Linked DNA regions of Saccharomyces cerevisiae S288C. The protein of the gene in region 1 interacts with the protein of each later gene in a biochemical or structural test. Each region holds a gene or a part of one and is shown on either strand. Other genes may lie near its edges.

Region 1 (4,386 bases):
AATTGAAGAACCGAACCATCGAATATAGAGATTTAGATGTGGAGGAGTTCTTACAAAATGTGACATTGGAAAATTTTTTCAATGATTTCCAAGATCCAGAGAATTTTAAAGATATTCCAAATATTAACCTCTGGTGTTTCCTGAGAAATTTGTCAAAATTCAAAGCTGTCAAAATAAGAATGCTGAGACATTTTTCATTATGTACACCTAGAACCAGATACGACTGGGAACTATTATTGAAGCCCGTACTGCGTGTAAATGTTCCCATTGAAGTCAGAGATAAGGACGGATTCGTTCTTTATTCTTACGGGCAAAAATAAATGACTTTTTGTAGTGGACTTTATATAGCATATTTATGCAACCAACTTAATATTCATGCATCTTACCCCTTCTTGGAACGGGTTCCATTTTCCACTCTATTTCCGGCAAATTTTGGTACTTACCTAGTAGAAATACACAAACGAATACTAAGAAATGCTAAAAAAATAATCTATATATTTTCATAGGGCAAAGAAGTTATTGTCATCAAAAGTTGGGTAGATAAAACCCTGGTCAGTCAAGGTCGTACAGCAGTTTCTGACGGTAGTTTCATCCAAATTCAAGGATTGCGAGATCAATGGAATGGGAACAGCGAATGAATTAGCGTCTTTGCCCTCACATTGCTTCTTACAAAATTCTAGAATTCTTTGTAACGGACTGGAGCCGGAAGATGTATCGTTATCATCCTTGACAAATAATGATTGCCCATTGTTGTTGGATGCACTCTCCAAAGGTTGTTTCATCATTCCACTGGCTATGGAATGACATTTGATGACTTCCAAGTGATGCGTCAACACTTCATTGAATGAATCTATGGGCTTAATCACCGCATACTGTATATTTTTCTTACCACCAAACTCTTTCAAAGCACCAAAAACTTTTACGTAACCGCCAATTTCAAATTGTTGGGCGACTTGCGAACCATAACCTTTACCAGAAGAGTCATCGTTACCGGCAGCCAAGTCATTTGCATCTTCGCTCCATTTTCTCACTTCTATTTGACCAGTTCCATCCTCAATAGTTAAAAAAATATTTGCAGTATGGTCTGTAATGTTTCTCACCACACCTACAAAACAAACGTGATGAAGTTCTTGGTTATGCGAAACGAAGGGGCCGTCCTGAATATCCTGTTTGGACTCTAGAATTTGTTTGATCGTCACAGGTGTCAAGGTGTTAACTCTAGTGTTAGTTTCCGACTCCCCACTACCTGGGCGGGACTCAGAGTTCTCAAAGCCACCGCCCGTTACTGATGAATATTCGTTATATGGTTGATAGGCTGTATTGGAATCCCATCCATTGTTAGTAATTTTAACATTCGCCAATAAAAATAAAAAAAATGATGCAGAAAAGAGCAAATCCTCCAATTCCTAGCACTAATACATACTTGCCATTATGTATATGCTTAAACTAGCCTGTTCTAGATAGTCGCTATCGATTTTGCCACATTACTTCCACCTTAAGTTGATATAATATTGCTTATTATAAAGGAAAGAACGCGTTTCCTAACGCGTTTCGTATATGGCGATAATTATCTAAGAAACTTCGCATCGTGAAAAAAAAGATGAAAATTGAAAATGGAAGCTCATCGAGGCCAAAGGAATTGCTAAAAAGAAGCTATCAGACCAGGCAAAAAGTAAACTAGTGGTTGCAAAATTATGGAGACGTTATTGCATGCAAAATTATTGCTGTCTGCAGAAGTAGAATCTCTGAAAAGTGGTTCTTTCGACCAGACATATGTGAAAAAGGCTGAACATATCATCAGTGGTGAATCATACCAGCTAGTACAGCAATTTGTGGACAAATTTAAGGGAAAAATTAGTATTTCGGGAGAAATATCCACATCTAGTGTTATTGCTGCTCTAAATGACTTTCTTAACGTTGAGGTTTTCAAAATGGGCCAAGAAAATGAGATGCTATTTTTGGCTATTGCCCTCTTACAGACCTTTATTCAAAATAACTACACCGGCCCAGCAGCTAGGTTGAAAGCAATCTCAGGTTTGTTTGGCAAAACTGGAATTGAAATAGGAGCAGTTAATACAGCCCTTTCCCGCTCATTAGCCATTATGGGCCAGCCTGCCTACGAATTTATGGATGATCCATTGTATTTGGTTTTATCACTATTATTACTTGAAAGGATAACCGGCCAAAAAAGCTTATTTGATGTTACCCCGGATCAAGAAATTCCGCTACCTATTATCTCTGCTGAGTCTACTCCTGGATTATTAGCTGTAGCTTATTGGTGGTGGGCAAGAGCTCTTTTGACGCAATTGTCACTGATTCCAGAACCTTCTGGGTTCCAAGCTAGTGTTGCATCTGCAATATATCAGTCTGCTGACCTTGCATATGCGATAACTAAGGAATTACCGGAGAGTATTCACGAAGATTTCAAAAGAGAACTTTGTGCAATGTACTATCTAGAGAATGTCAAATGTTCATTGGCCATCAACACAGAACATTTGTGCCTGCCATCCTTGACCAGAGCGAAAAAGATAACAAATTTTGAATTTGTAATGACGGGTGCACGCGCTACTAGAACTAAATATCAGCAAAAGGCTCATGCCGGTTTGATCATTCTTGCCAAATCCTTCACATTTCAAAATTTTGCTTTGAGAACGACATCTGCTACACCAGAAACATTTGCTTTAGAGTCCGATCTATTATTGGAGAAGCCTCATTTTGAGTCCATTGCTGATGAACCTCTAGACGAGCAAATTTATAGTAAAAGACAAAAGGTAGACCTAAATGAAGGTTATGAAGAAGATAAACTATTGCCATTGGCACTACGTCAAGAAAATATTCCAAAGTTGTTGCTGGATTTGAACCCTAACGATCAACCTACCCTATCTGATTACGACAACATCCAGTTGCTGTTACGTCTTTACACCATAAAGAACACAACTCCGGCCAAGGATCCTCTTGTGGAAGAAGAACTTACTGCTTTGCTTTCTAGAATATTATATCAAAACGGTGACAAAAATTGGTCTATTTTCGCCCGATCATTATGGGAAAGGTCAATTATTGAGACAACAAAGGCTAAAACTATTGAAAGAGGACTTTTACAAATGCAATCCCTCGTAGAAGAATTGGATTTGAAGATTAAGAGTAAATTGGTTCCAAGTTCAAGCGAAATCAATGTTGCTAGCAGGCTGTCATACATCCACCAGCTGCCGTTCATCCCTAGGTGGCAATTGGATGCCACCTTAGCTGAAAAATATATGTCGCTGGGTATTTTGAAGTCCGCTGTGGAAATTTATGAAAGACTTGGTATGGCATGCGAGACTGCATTATGTTATGCCGCTGTTGGAGATGAAAAAAAGGCAGAAGAAATCCTTCTTCAAAGAATAAATGAAAATGATTCGGATGCCAGGGCTTACTCCATTTTGGGTGATATAAAACAGGATCCATCCCTATGGGAAAAAAGTTGGGAGATTGGAAAATACGTCAACGCAAAAAATTCCCTTGCAAAGTATTACTTTAATCCTCCTCCAAAGTCTGGAGCACAACCAAATTACTCTGCTACCTTGAAACATTTAAATGACTCGTTAAGGCAATACCCATTAAGCTTTGAAACGTGGTATTTTTATGGTTGCGTTGGATTACAATGTGGTAAAATGCAGATAGCTGCGGAGGCATTTACCAGATGTGTTTCATTAGACCCTTATCATGCTCTTTCATGGTCAAATTTGAGCGCTGCATATACGAAAATGGATAAATTGAAAGAAGCTTATAGTTGTTTGAAAAGAGCCATTTCATGTGACGCTCAAAAGAACTGGAAAATTTGGGAGAATTACATGCTTGTTGCTGTTAAGTTGAATGAGTGGGAGGATGTCTTAACTGCATGTAAACAATTAGTCAGTATTAGGAGGGACAAATCTGGCGAAGGTTCCATCGACTTACCAATTATTGAAAAACTAGTAGAACTATTAGTGACTAGTGAATATCCAGAGGAGCCGCAGCAATTATCTTATTTTCAAAAGAGCTGTACTGAGTTTATCTGTAACACTTTACCTCAGGTAATTACAACCAGTGCAAGATGTTGGCGACTGGTCGCAAGAGTAGAACTTTGGAGGAAGAGACCATGGGCCGCCCTAGAATGCCACGAGAAGGCTTATAGGGCCATTTCTCACAATCCTGATTTAGAAGTTGAAGAAAAGGTTTGGAATGATACAGTGGATGCTTGTGAAGATTTGGTGGCTGCCTATGAATCACTTGGTGAAATGGAAGGTAAATATGGGCCAGGCAGTCTGGTTTGCAAAGACTGGAAATACAAATGTAGATCTACTATCAAAGCTCTAATGAGTAAAGGCAAAGGCAGATGGGATGACTCTCCTGGTTGGGATAGGCTAG
Region 2 (8,650 bases), on another chromosome or scaffold:
TCAAGAGGAAGTTCGTCTGTTGCCGAAAATGGTGGAAAGTCGTTACCAAAATGGAAGCCAACCAATATACATCTTGCTTAGATTGTCTTCTGATGTTGCTTCTTGGATCAATGTTTCTGTTTGGCCAGCAACACTCAATACCAGGCCATCCTGCGGATCTATACCGCGGATTTTGTTTCTTAAGACCTTTAGCGCTTTTTGAATTGAGTGGTCCATGTTTCTATCGTACATAATTGTTTCGATCACATTCATCAACGCTACTTCATTTTTTCTCATTAAAGCCAACGTGACTTCACTAGACTTCTTAAATGTTCCTTCTGTCCCAATTATGCCCAACGCATCCAATAAATTTGGTGTTAGTCTGAAGGGAACAATTTCTGGGACAGGTAACCTTTTGCCTTTCTCAAATAAACAGTCGAAGTCTACATGAAGAACTTTACCCGTCTGTATATCTAGTAATATGTTTTCACAGTGCCTATCACCTAGACCTAATATATGGCCAACCATTGCCATGACGGCGTAAGATCTGGCATACGTATTCCTGGCGTTGAACCAATTGATTGGATCAGGAAAGTTTTCTAAAAACCATTGGTACAAGATTGGAGGAAATTTATCTACCTGTTCCATGTAAAACTCGAGTTTTCCATCTACTGCGGTGTGCTGCCACCTATCATGTAGACTTTTCAGGCTATACTTAATTTTCAGACTTTCGTACTTTGTAGAAAGAATAGATCTTAAAGTTACAACATTCGGTACCATTTCCAATATCCCACAGTCTTCTCGAAGAGATAGTACGGAGTAAATATTTATGCCCAGGCTTCTTTTTCTTGAAGCTATGTCCTTACTCAGAAGAAAATCCATTGTTGTGGCGAACTGCATATATTGGTTATCTTGTCGGACATCTTCCTTCTTACACATGATCCCATAAATGTTGCCATCTGAACCTATTATGTTCAATTGTTTTGGCTTCTTTAATGAAGAAAACACTTTATAAGATGATCCGAATCTAATTATAGAAACAACCGGCCTAAATGGTTGATAGCCCCTCATTGAGTTAGACTCTAGTGGTGAAATGATGTCTAAATTTTTTCTTACTGGAACAACCATTGCAGATGGGGCCACGTTCATGTCAAATTTGAAGTCTTTTTCTAAAGATTTGCCTGATCTACTTGTAATGCTTTTGACATCTTGCAAACAGACACGAGTTAATGCTTTCGTTAAATCCAATGCACTAGAAACTAGATCATGAGGATTTTGCGAATGTTGTCTATACTTTTCTAAAATATGCTTACCACGAAGAACTCTTTTTGAAGAATTGGAATTTACAAGGGCTGTGATATACCATAAAATATGAGAGGGGTATTCAACAGCCAAACTTAGCAGTATGTGCATTATTATCTGGGCCGATGATTGATGAGAATGTAATAACCTAGATAACAACTGAGTCAAAACAAAGTACCAAATATAAGTGGGACAATGCTGCAGCGCTTCTTCAACATGACTACATATATCTTCCGTAGCCTTACTCAGCATTTCCTTTCTGTTTCCAGGAGCTTCAGAAATTGATGCGGCCGCAATATCTAGCCAAAACGTGATAACTTTGGGCAAATTTTCTCTTACTTTAGCAGTGTTCTTTTCAAATGCCAATAAAAAGTAAGATATTGCCCTGTACTCAAAACGACCATTAGTAATATAACCCTCTGCTTTTTTGCGCTCAAGTAGTCTACTATAGTATAAGCCAATAGAGTAATATGGTTTATCCCATTTAGAATCAATCTGAAAAATATCCTGATATTGTTTAATAATTTGTTCGGACGCTGAATTGTTCGAAAGGTCTAACCATTCAGTAAACTTTAATAGCACGGCGGCACGATCGCGAGCATTAACCGAGGAATTTTCTTGATACTTTTCATGTATTTCTTGCACTATCTTTAAGGCTCTATCATTCTCACCTTGCTTCCATAGTATTTCAGCAAACTCCAACTCTGCCTGAGGCAACCGCCTTTCCAAACAATGCATTAATGATTCGGAGGCTATATCTAGCCTAGCGTTGTTTCTCGCCAATTGGGCTAAAGTGAAGAATGTTTTTCCTAAGTCAGCGTCTGCTTGTTCATTCATTTTCAATTGGTCAAATGACTTTCTCATTGACAATATGTAATGATTTGGCACGAAGTCAGCCCCAATACGTTCCATTCGATAATCGAGTATGGTAGTGTTACTTTTGTATTCAAACTTATCTTTCGCAGAAGATAAAAAACTGAGGTCATATAAACTGTGTAATTTCATCAATAAATTCTGTTTCTTTAGCAGCGTCGTCTCTTTAGATGACGTTATAAAATTTGTTCCGATAAGCCTAAAGGAATTGTGGATGTATTTTTGAGTCCTTAATGGATCCTCGTTTGAGATGGCAATTAAAGCTTTCGCAATATTGTACTGCAAAAGTACTTCTCTATCGTCAATATTTCTTAAACTCTCTATTTGTTCTACCCAATTTTTCAAAGTTTGAACATTGCCTTCTAGATTTGCAGCTTCAAGACCTATGCTGTACCATTCCTTCACATCTGGAGACAAAGAAATTTTTCCGTCTGAAGAATGGAACGAAGAGTTCGATATTATTTGAGAATACAATTGGTGGTCATACATAGACTTTAGCATCCTGGTTGTAGTTTTGGGGTCATCTGAAAATTTGCCGAGGACATTAAAGCAGTCTTGTGCGAGTTTCCAGTTTTCAGAATATTGCAATTCTTCAATTTTAGAAACCAAGTTTCCTGTAGCAAAGGTTCTCAGTACACCATCGAGTGAGTCAATGTCTCCTATTTCTTCGTATGTGATTTGTAAATTTTTCAGTAGTTGTCCATTTTGGTTCTTATCGTGAGGATTCTGTCGATAGCACTGTTCAAGGTATAGAGCAGACCTTTCAAAAGAATCCGTCTCTAAGGAGCGTTGAGCTAGCAAATCTGAAGGGGTTGTTCGCAAAAACTCATCTATTCTCAAAAGCATGTTAGTTGTTTTCGTATCTTTAATGATAAAAGTGCCGTGTAGTTTACTGTAATTTTGTTTAAACTCAGTTGCCCATTTTTTGCAATATTCGAAAACTCTGAAGATGGATTCATAGCACATTCTTAACGAATCCACTTGCAAGTTATTCATTCCTTCCAGATTGCACGTGAAAATGCTGTCAAATTCAATAATAATCCCGTTTAAAATATCAGCGTATGGAGTTCCTTTTTCTGCCTTGATAATAATGTCCAGAGAAATATAAGGTAGCAAAAAATTTGATAGTGAGCCATCATCTTCCCTAATCAAAGAGGAAAACACGTGTAATGGATGATTTTCTGTTGTACCTGTTTTCAATAAATCCAATGTAAACCTTTTCACCCAAATTTTGTATCCTTCCTTGAAGTTATTAGAAGGATATTTTAGCGGGACATATTCTTTCCATGATTGCGCAAGATACAAGGAAGATAAAAGCGGATAGATGGTTGTCTTGGAGACAGAGTTAAACTTTTCCCATAGTTTGGCTTCATTTGGATATAATTCTTTATGGTTCATATCCCATGACTCTGAACTTAGCCCGCAATATTTTAATGATTCCTGTATGACAAGGGCAACAAACAATTGCTTGCTGGGATTCTCACTTTGCCAAAACGCAGGAACGAGGATATCATTTATGACCCATATCAAGAACTTAATAGTTTGAACACTATCATTCAAATCATAAACTTCGTTTTCTGAATATGTTGTTCTTTTAAACTCATGCTTTGTAACGTCTAAAACACCAATCATACTGATACATTTGGCGCACTTCTCGCATAGGTCCTTGTCTAAATTTCTAAACTTATGAGAAGTGTCTAATAAAGCACCCAAAACTAATGTTATATCAGAAGTTTGCCCAACCTTCTTTGGTGTAAAATCAATCGATCTTTCTGTCTGCTTTCTCCGAAGATATACCTCTATATCGTCTAAATTTTGGTTTATGACATACTTGTTACTACTTTTCAAGTTATTAGCAAATATGGGTATAAGGTCCGTGGTACTTCTTATTTTATTCACCATTCTTGCAAATTGGCCATCACGAGCTAAAATACCTAATTCAGGCTTGCCTACTAAAGCCAAAGTAGTGTAAGGTTTTAATTTCAAAATCAGGTCCGATTTCTCTTTGATTAAGGTATCCAGTATACTGTACACTATATTTCGAAGTTTTCCGTTGAACTCAGACCACTTTTGAAGTATGAATGCAATTAAGCTATCTATAACAGTAGAGAGTTCTTCATCATTTAGATGGCGAACTAACAGATGCCAACATCTAAAGGCCTCGTATCGAACTTCCTTAAGCCCAAGTCCTGTTTGCAAACAAATACTAATCTGGGCTAATGCGGAAATTATTGATTTTTTGGGGGCATATATGATAAGAAAAGAAATGCCATTGATAACCCTTAACTTTTCGTAGTAAGTGGTGCGGCCTTCAACATCATGTATGTCACTCGAAAAAACTTGGAAAATACCTAAGATATTATCCTGTAGTTTCTTTTGGAACGCTTGTTCCTGATCATCCGTCCAGTTATTGATATTTTTGTACTTCGAACCATGCCTTTTGTCTTTTTCAAAATTGGTGATTAAAAATCGCAAAGAGCATAAAATCATATTAGCATTCTCGCTGTCACTTGCATCTTTAGTAACGCTGTTTTTGTAGAGCTTCGTTATTTCAGCTAAAGTTTTATAATCGGGAAGGTATGCAGTTATATATCCTTTGTCAAAAGTTGGAGCCCTATTTAAAAAAAGGGTTTCCAAGATATCCAAAGAAAATAATCCGTGTTTTACCAAAGCTACGGCAAATATTTGCCTACTGTTTTTTTTCAGTAAATTAACCTTCATTTGGTTAATTAAACTTGTATCGCCATCACACATAATCTTAGCAATTTCACTTAGCACATCGCTCTTATATTGAATAATTGCATAAGGGATGATATATCTCTGGAAAATATCGAGAATTGTTTTTGAAGAATATCCCAATAATTCTATTAAATTTTGAAAGCCAACTTTTCTTTCCACGAGGTTTTTTCCCAACTGTCTTAGTAATACAGGTAAAATAGGCGATAGTAATTGATATGGTGTTTTCTTTAAAATTTTGGCCATATTTTTAATTTGCAAAGTCATCATTATTCGTAAACTATAATCATCAGAATTGAAAATATCAATCAGTTTCAAAAGTAGTGTATCAAATACATCATTAGAAGTCGTCAATGTTAATTGTGTCCAAGCAATGACTAAATTTTCTTTCACCACTGGCAATTTTTGAGATTGTAGAAACTTTATCAGCGTGGCAGTGTGTTCATCTTCGGAATTATGAGAGTCTGATATATTGAATAAAGGTATAATTCTAGTACTTAATAAACGTAGGTATCTGTTAGAATTCATAAAGCACTTTTGTACCAGTTTAAAGCTCTTATTGATTTGACCGTTTCCATCTGTAAGTTTTGGAGGTTGAAAGTGTGAAAATATCCTATGTAGAGAAAATAAGATGCCACTTAACAAAGATTCGCTAAATTCATCTATATTTGGGTGAGATAGAAAGTTTGAATGAAGTATCCTGAAGATTTCTGATTTACCCGCAGCCTCTGGTCTATTTGGATTTATTCGCACGAAAGGGTTGCCAGTTTTCTCAATATCGCATAAATGACAAACATACCAATTATCCATATCCTTTGTGGAATTTGGCAGAGTGCCGGAAAACTTCTCTGATTCTAGACAGGCTAGACGTCCGAGAATTACAGTCCATGATGTTAGCCTTGTTATATTGTTTGTCTTGAAACAAGTTTGAATGGATACAGATGCTTCATTTAAAATTAGCTTGAAATCGTTTCCAGCTCTTTGAAAAAATCCAGGACTTAGCTGGTTCACGCGGTATTTGAGCAAAGTTCCTCTTTCTGTCTTGTTAAACTTCTTTAGTACTAGCAACCTTAGCTTTTCCAGCTGCTTATATCGATCATCAAAGGGAGAAGTGACATTTTTCAAGCTCGAGTCCGGCTCCGATTGGTATACCCAGATGTTGAACTTATTATCGTACTTTAAAGCTTCAACAGGTAGGGACCTTCTTTTCAAATCAAAATATACAATCGAGAGAGCTTTATTAGTCAACTGCGTGAACGGAAAATGTTCACTTTGTGAAAAATCTGCCCACTGGTCAATTGGGAAGTGGTCTACAAAGCATTTTGAGAAATCGTTAGAAATGCAAAGAGAATATAGTCGAAGAATTCCTTTGGCCATAGTGGGGTCATTATCCAAGAGCCCATACTTGTTATCCAAAAAATGATGCATAGTAGTCAATACAAACTTTAATTGTTCACAACAAACTAACGCTGGGGCATCCAGGGCTGTGGAAATTGTTCTATTGCAAACATAGTCCACAACTAGAGAAATATATTTGAGTTGGATTTCGGCATATTCTAGTGCTGCTAGTTCGCAGGAATCAAAGACGTAAAGAACAATCCTGATTAATCGTTGGAAGTTAAAGTCAAATTTCGTGAACCCCAAAGAAGAATCTAAGAATGCTATAGAGTTCCCAAAAGTACTATACTCCGAAGTGAACCAGTATAAAAGAATGTATAGACCCTTCAAGGTGTCATAAAATTTGAGAAGCTCAGTCTTGCCCAACAAGACTTCAGTCAAGGCCTGTTCGTAAAGATTCATGGTGTTCTCAAAATGTGCAGTAAGCTGAAACTTAGCAGGTTTTCCGTAAAATTCGACACATGCTTTGCACCAGCTGCCTAATTTTCGCCTCATAAACCATATTCTGTGGTAATTATCATAGTTCAGAACGGATATGTTGAGGAAATCATCTATCAGCCTTTGTATCTCAAAGTTCCCGTTGGAATCCTTCATAACAAGCAAGAAGGGGTTGTACTCCAACAATAAGGCAAGGGCGGAAACTGTTTTCGAAAATATAGTATCATTTTTCATGATATTGTTCCTTCTTTGATCTTTTAGGTTTCTTATGAGGGTGTTCAGGATCTTTAAACTCTTGGCGTACTCCTGAGAAGAAGATGGATCCGTGGGCACTTTTTTAATCTGCACCTTTGAATCCACCCCCGAGTTCAGGTCTTTTATTGCCAATATCAATTCGTCAAGATATTTGACGTGTGATTCCATGCAGTCTTGTGGGCCTTTACGCGGTGTATGTCGTTCTTGTTGTCCAGCCTCACTTTGTCTTCATTAATCATCTCTCTTCAAAATTGTCCGTCGGCGGGTATTTTTTTCTAGTTGACTAGTTTTGGAGCGTGCGTTCCATCTATTTGATTTATAAGGGAAAGAAGAAATTTATTTGAAGGATATTCACTATATAAATTTTATTTGTATTCTAATGCTTGTTGGTGAAAACTATGATCCATAGTTTTTTTTTTTTTTGTTTGCTTGTTTGTTTATTCTTTATTATGATAAGTACATAGTATGCTCCATATAGTTATGGAGCCTTGAAAAGGAATTCAATTTCAGTAATTAGAGTATATCAAAGCTAGGAGATTTGGGGTGGAACTTGCATATCGTTCGAAATCGATTGTGTTTGATGTTGCTGTTGTTGTTGTTGCTGCTGTTGCTGCTGTTGCTGTTGCTGTTGAGCAGCAGCGGTCGCTGCCCTCAGCTCGGCCTCGTAGTTCAGCGGCCTTTTGAATAGCAAAATGTGTGGTTCTGGCGCATGGCATTCATAATGTTCCCACCCCAAAGACTGTGTGATGCCGAGGCCTCTCCATTCGTCTTCTGTTAATATACGCAGGGTCCCCACTTCCGAATTGAAGTAATCAGATGGGATAACTTTTAGCATGGCCTTAGGTAACATCACATGCCTGTACTCATAGTTATCGTCTGAGTACCGCGGAGAATAGTGAATGGAATCTTGAAACTCCAACACGCGTGCTCTTTCTTGGTCAGTAAGCTTTCTGCCTTGGAAGGCGTGATAGTGATGGTACATAGTACTGTAAGACGAGAGTAAGTGCGTGTCAATCTAGTTGTATCCAACGCGGCCAGCAGTTCCAAGAACTTACGACAGAGTTGTAATGAATGCTACTGATGTCTGCTCTACTGCCATCCGCTGTCCTTTCATGCATAAAAGCTCCATTCTTTATTTATCTCATACCACGAGAAAAAAAAATCACCTGACATATTTTTATAACCCGCCTTTTAGACCCTAAAACAGATCTCAGGGCTCGAGTACTGTTTTATCTGAAAATTCTTCGAGCCCTCGTTTTGCACTGAGCTAAACCAAAAGAAAAATAAACAATCACAAATGGAACCCGAAACAGCACGCTGCGCAGTGTTTTTATATTTTTTTGAAACAAATGGCTTTATACAATGTGTATGTGTGATAGAAAAAATGGTATATTTCGAGTGACTTGTGATCCTATTCCCAAGCCCTATAGGAGCTATTTCAAATTGCGTGTGTGAAAGCGTGTGTGTGTGTGTGTGTGTGGAATTGTGCGGACGTTCCTCTTCTTTTATACATATAATTTTTATATATACAAAGGGTTCAGTTTGCATATGCATAGCAACGTATTTGTTGGTGTCAAACCAGGCTTTAATCATAAACAGCACAGCAAAAAGTCACGTTTCCTAGAAAATGTCTCTAGTCATTCACCAGAACTGCCTAGTAACTATGATT
Region 3 (3,722 bases), on another chromosome or scaffold:
CACCCAGTGTATTCTCCATGCTTGCAAACCGTATCACAATTGGTCTCTGAACGCGCCTCGATGTACCAATATATCGCGCCTTGCATGGCCTTTACACATTCCTCTTGCGTATCTGATATAGTTTGTTTTCGTCTTTTCGCCAATGGCCTAAACGCCAAACGTCCGGCCTCGTTATTCGTGATGCCTACTTAATGGCTCTTAAATCGAATTTAAACTAGCTCAAAAGTAATCAATTCAAACTAAAATAACATCATTGGCCATCCTGAATTGTTGGATGCCATCTAAACTGCGTATTGACCATTATTCCATCGTAACCACGGCGGTTCAATATAATATCACTTTTGACGATTAGGTGTTTTATTTACATTTCTTTTTTTTTTTCCTCGAAAAAGATCTTCAAGGATAATACAGGAATAGAACAGGAGTCTCAAAGCATTCTTGAAGCCAGATTTGCTCCAGTTTGATAGTTCCAAGAAGCGCTAAAAGTGGCAGTTCACACTTTGTTTTGATTACTAGGAATCTACTCTTTCGCTTTTTACTTCCTTCTCAGAGAATCAGCAACTGTGACATATTATAGATAATGCGTTTACAAAGAAATTCCATCATATGTGCTTTGGTGTTTTTAGTCTCATTTGTGCTGGGAGATGTGAATATTGTTTCCCCCAGCTCCAAGGCAACATTCAGTCCAAGTGGTGGTACTGTCTCTGTTCCCGTTGAATGGATGGATAATGGGGCATATCCCTCGTTAAGCAAGATTTCAACTTTCACGTTCAGTCTTTGTACTGGTCCTAATAACAACATTGACTGTGTGGCCGTACTTGCCAGTAAAATTACTCCAAGTGAGCTAACACAAGATGATAAAGTTTACTCTTACACAGCTGAGTTTGCTTCGACCTTAACTGGGAACGGTCAATATTACATTCAAGTTTTTGCCCAGGTGGACGGTCAAGGTTACACTATCCATTATACACCAAGATTCCAGTTGACTTCCATGGGCGGTGTTACGGCTTATACATATAGTGCCACAACTGAACCTACTCCCCAGACTTCTATTCAAACAACCACTACAAACAACGCCCAAGCCACTACTATTGACAGTCGTTCATTTACTGTTCCGTACACCAAGCAGACTGGTACGTCGCGTTTCGCTCCAATGCAAATGCAGCCAAATACTAAAGTGACCGCTACCACATGGACAAGGAAATTTGCCACTAGTGCTGTGACATATTACTCTACCTTTGGGTCATTGCCAGAGCAAGCAACTACGATAACTCCTGGCTGGTCTTATACGATATCATCGGGAGTAAACTACGCTACTCCTGCATCTATGCCTTCAGATAATGGTGGTTGGTACAAACCATCCAAGAGATTGTCTTTGTCTGCAAGGAAAATCAACATGAGAAAAGTATGAAAAATAGACGGCTTCTACTATCATCATTACAGTAAGGGTTGAAGTCAGGAAAGGTTAAAAATAAAATAAATATCAAAAAGTTTTTAGCGGAAGGCGTTAAGGCAGCAAGTACACATTCATTTATCTATCTATACATCTATAAACACAACTACAATTTTTTTAGAAATGGAATTTATTATATGAAGGGAAGACATATAGAGGCAACAGTACATAAAGGTAAGAATAAAAGCGATTTTAGCTAGTATATTTCTGGGTATTTCTTACATAGTCTCTGTAAAGCAACCACACCGTTTAAGCTTAAATCTTCGTTCTCCTTGAATTTGCATAGTACAGCGTCTAGAATCAAAAATCCTAGCTCGCCGTCATCATTGTTCCTGCAAACAAACTCATACCACGAGTCGATCTCAAATGTTTTATTCATAGATACACGAATATTGTTCAACGTAATCATTTCAACCTCGCTGCCGTTTTTCGATGATATGGTTGGCGATTGTAAAATCAACTGAGATTCAGTGGGTTGTGATTTGATTTGCGCTATTATCCTAAACACAGGAGCATTGACGTTGGAGATTTCTGTGGGGTCAACTCTTGGTGTTTCGCTGGCCATTTTTACTTGTGTTACTGGTAGACGATGTTCTACAAGAATGGTGAAGGGTGTGTTATATTGCTCTTTATTTAAACACGAACGAAAAAAATATCGCGTATTGCCACATTTGGCGCGTCAATATTAAAGAACGAAGGCATTATATAGGGCGACTTGTCATGATTCCAACCATGGCATGGGCGGTGGATGCTTCTCAGCAGTGGCCCATTACGTTAGTCAACGACTGTTGGCTGTCATCTGTTCTTGTTGGGTGCTTGCAGCTGCATCGACAAACATGGATGGATGCCTCTACATATATATATATATTTATGTAATGGACCTCTGAATATTTTACTATGTAACTGACTATAGGAGATACCACTGGTGCTGTAGTACAATTTAGCACTTGCAAGCGTTGACACAGTTGTTGCGAAGGCCTCTTTCTTGTAGCACTTAATTGGAGTATGACTGCCATCATGTAGGGAAATTATGAAAGCATAGGATCAATCTTGACGTTGCAAAGAAGAAGAGACTTGCTGTTCCCTATTGATCACTTACCGTTATTGGAGTTCATATGGTACTTTTTTCATAATTTTACGAGTAATCCCTAGTGGTAGTTAATATTCAGCAAATAAAATACCAGTTTGAGACCAAAGGTAAGATAAGAGTTTACTGATAAAGACAAAGAATTGGGATGACCTAGTCCAAGGGATTATAGTACCTTCGCGAGTATTGCATATAAGCTTTTAGCGATACACAAACAAAGCGACACCGGGATTTGCATATCGCTTGTTCCTACGACGTTGTCAGTTCCATAACCTCTGATTTCCCATACGGATTTTGAAAATCAGCTACGAATAGATAGTCTTTTTCTATTTTCAGTAAATGTGTCATTGAAAAAAGTTTCTTTAGAACGACGCTTTTTGCAGGCTACTAGAAACACCCACTTCTAGTAGCTTTACGTGACGAATTGAACCGCGTGATCTTGTGCACTGTTATCCTAAATGCTCAATGCTCAGAACATCTTCTTGTTATCTCAGCCTCGCCACCCTTATCTTATCATAGCGGCCTTTTATTTTCCCCTTTGGGCAAAATACGATACAGCCTTCCAAGGTCGGGCAAGAAAGTTTATGACATATAAAAGAAACGGGTACCCCAAATACGTCTCTTCCCATTGTAAAACTAATCCTGCATCATCACATTAAGGAATCATTCATCTAACAATTACATTATGATCGCCTTACCAGTAGAGAAGGCCCCTAGAAAGTCCCTATGGCAAAGGCACAGAGCCTTTATTAGTGGAATAGTTGCCCTTATTATCATCGGCACCTTCTTCCTCACTTCGGGTCTCCACCCAGCACCACCTCATGAGGCAAAGCGTCCACACCATGGAAAAGGTCCCATGCACTCACCCAAATGTGAGAAGATTGAACCATTAAGTCCATCATTCAAACATTCCGTCGACACAATTCTTCATGACCCTGCCTTTAGAAACAGCTCCATTGAGAAACTGTCCAATGCTGTTAGAATCCCCACTGTAGTCCAAGACAAAAACCCCAACCCCGCAGATGATCCGGATTTCTATAAGCATTTTTATGAACTACACGACTATTTTGAGAAGACTTTCCCTAATATTCACAAGCATTTGAAATTGGAGAAAGTCAATGAGCTGGGTCTTCTATACACATGGGAAGGTTCTGATCCTGATCTAAAACCATTATTGTTAAT

The links.
Region 2: of the proteins of RFA2 (region 1) and MEC1, one has a biochemical effect on the other in vitro, tested with the Saccharomyces cerevisiae proteins (6 studies listed by BioGRID).
Region 3: the proteins of RFA2 (region 1) and RFA3 form a complex in vitro, tested with the Saccharomyces cerevisiae proteins (3 studies listed by BioGRID).

Annotation. Positions count from the first base shown.
Region 1 is NC_001146.8:45,331-49,716, reverse strand, and holds RFA2 (Rfa2p), read right to left. Parts: upstream 1,431-4,386; coding exon 1,424-1,430; intron 1,316-1,423; coding exon 501-1,315; downstream 1-500. Other genes in the region: putative SCF ubiquitin ligase complex subunit SKP2, read left to right, coding at 1-320; tetratricopeptide repeat-containing protein EMW1, read left to right, coding at 1,695-4,386. UniProt on the Saccharomyces cerevisiae protein: Binds to single-stranded sequences participating in DNA replication in addition to those mediating transcriptional repression (URS1) and activation (CAR1). Stimulates the activity of a cognate strand exchange protein (SEP1).
Region 2 is NC_001134.8:504,167-512,816, reverse strand, and holds MEC1 (protein kinase MEC1), read right to left. Parts: upstream 7,150-8,650; coding exon 43-7,149; downstream 1-42. Other genes in the region: cyclin-dependent protein kinase regulatory subunit CKS1, read right to left, coding at 7,511-7,963; HSL7 (protein arginine N-methyltransferase), read left to right, coding at 8,530-8,650. UniProt on the Saccharomyces cerevisiae protein: Serine/threonine protein kinase which activates checkpoint signaling upon genotoxic stresses such as ionizing radiation (IR), ultraviolet light (UV), or DNA replication stalling, thereby acting as a DNA damage sensor.
Region 3 is NC_001142.9:94,512-98,233, forward strand, and holds RFA3 (Rfa3p), read right to left. Parts: upstream 2,019-3,722; coding exon 1,650-2,018; downstream 1-1,649. Other genes in the region: SWI3 (Swi3p), read right to left, coding at 1-19; KRE9 (Kre9p), read left to right, coding at 581-1,411; CPS1 (Gly-Xaa carboxypeptidase), read left to right, coding at 3,226-3,722. UniProt on the Saccharomyces cerevisiae protein: As part of the replication protein A (RPA/RP-A), a single-stranded DNA-binding heterotrimeric complex, may play an essential role in DNA replication, recombination and repair.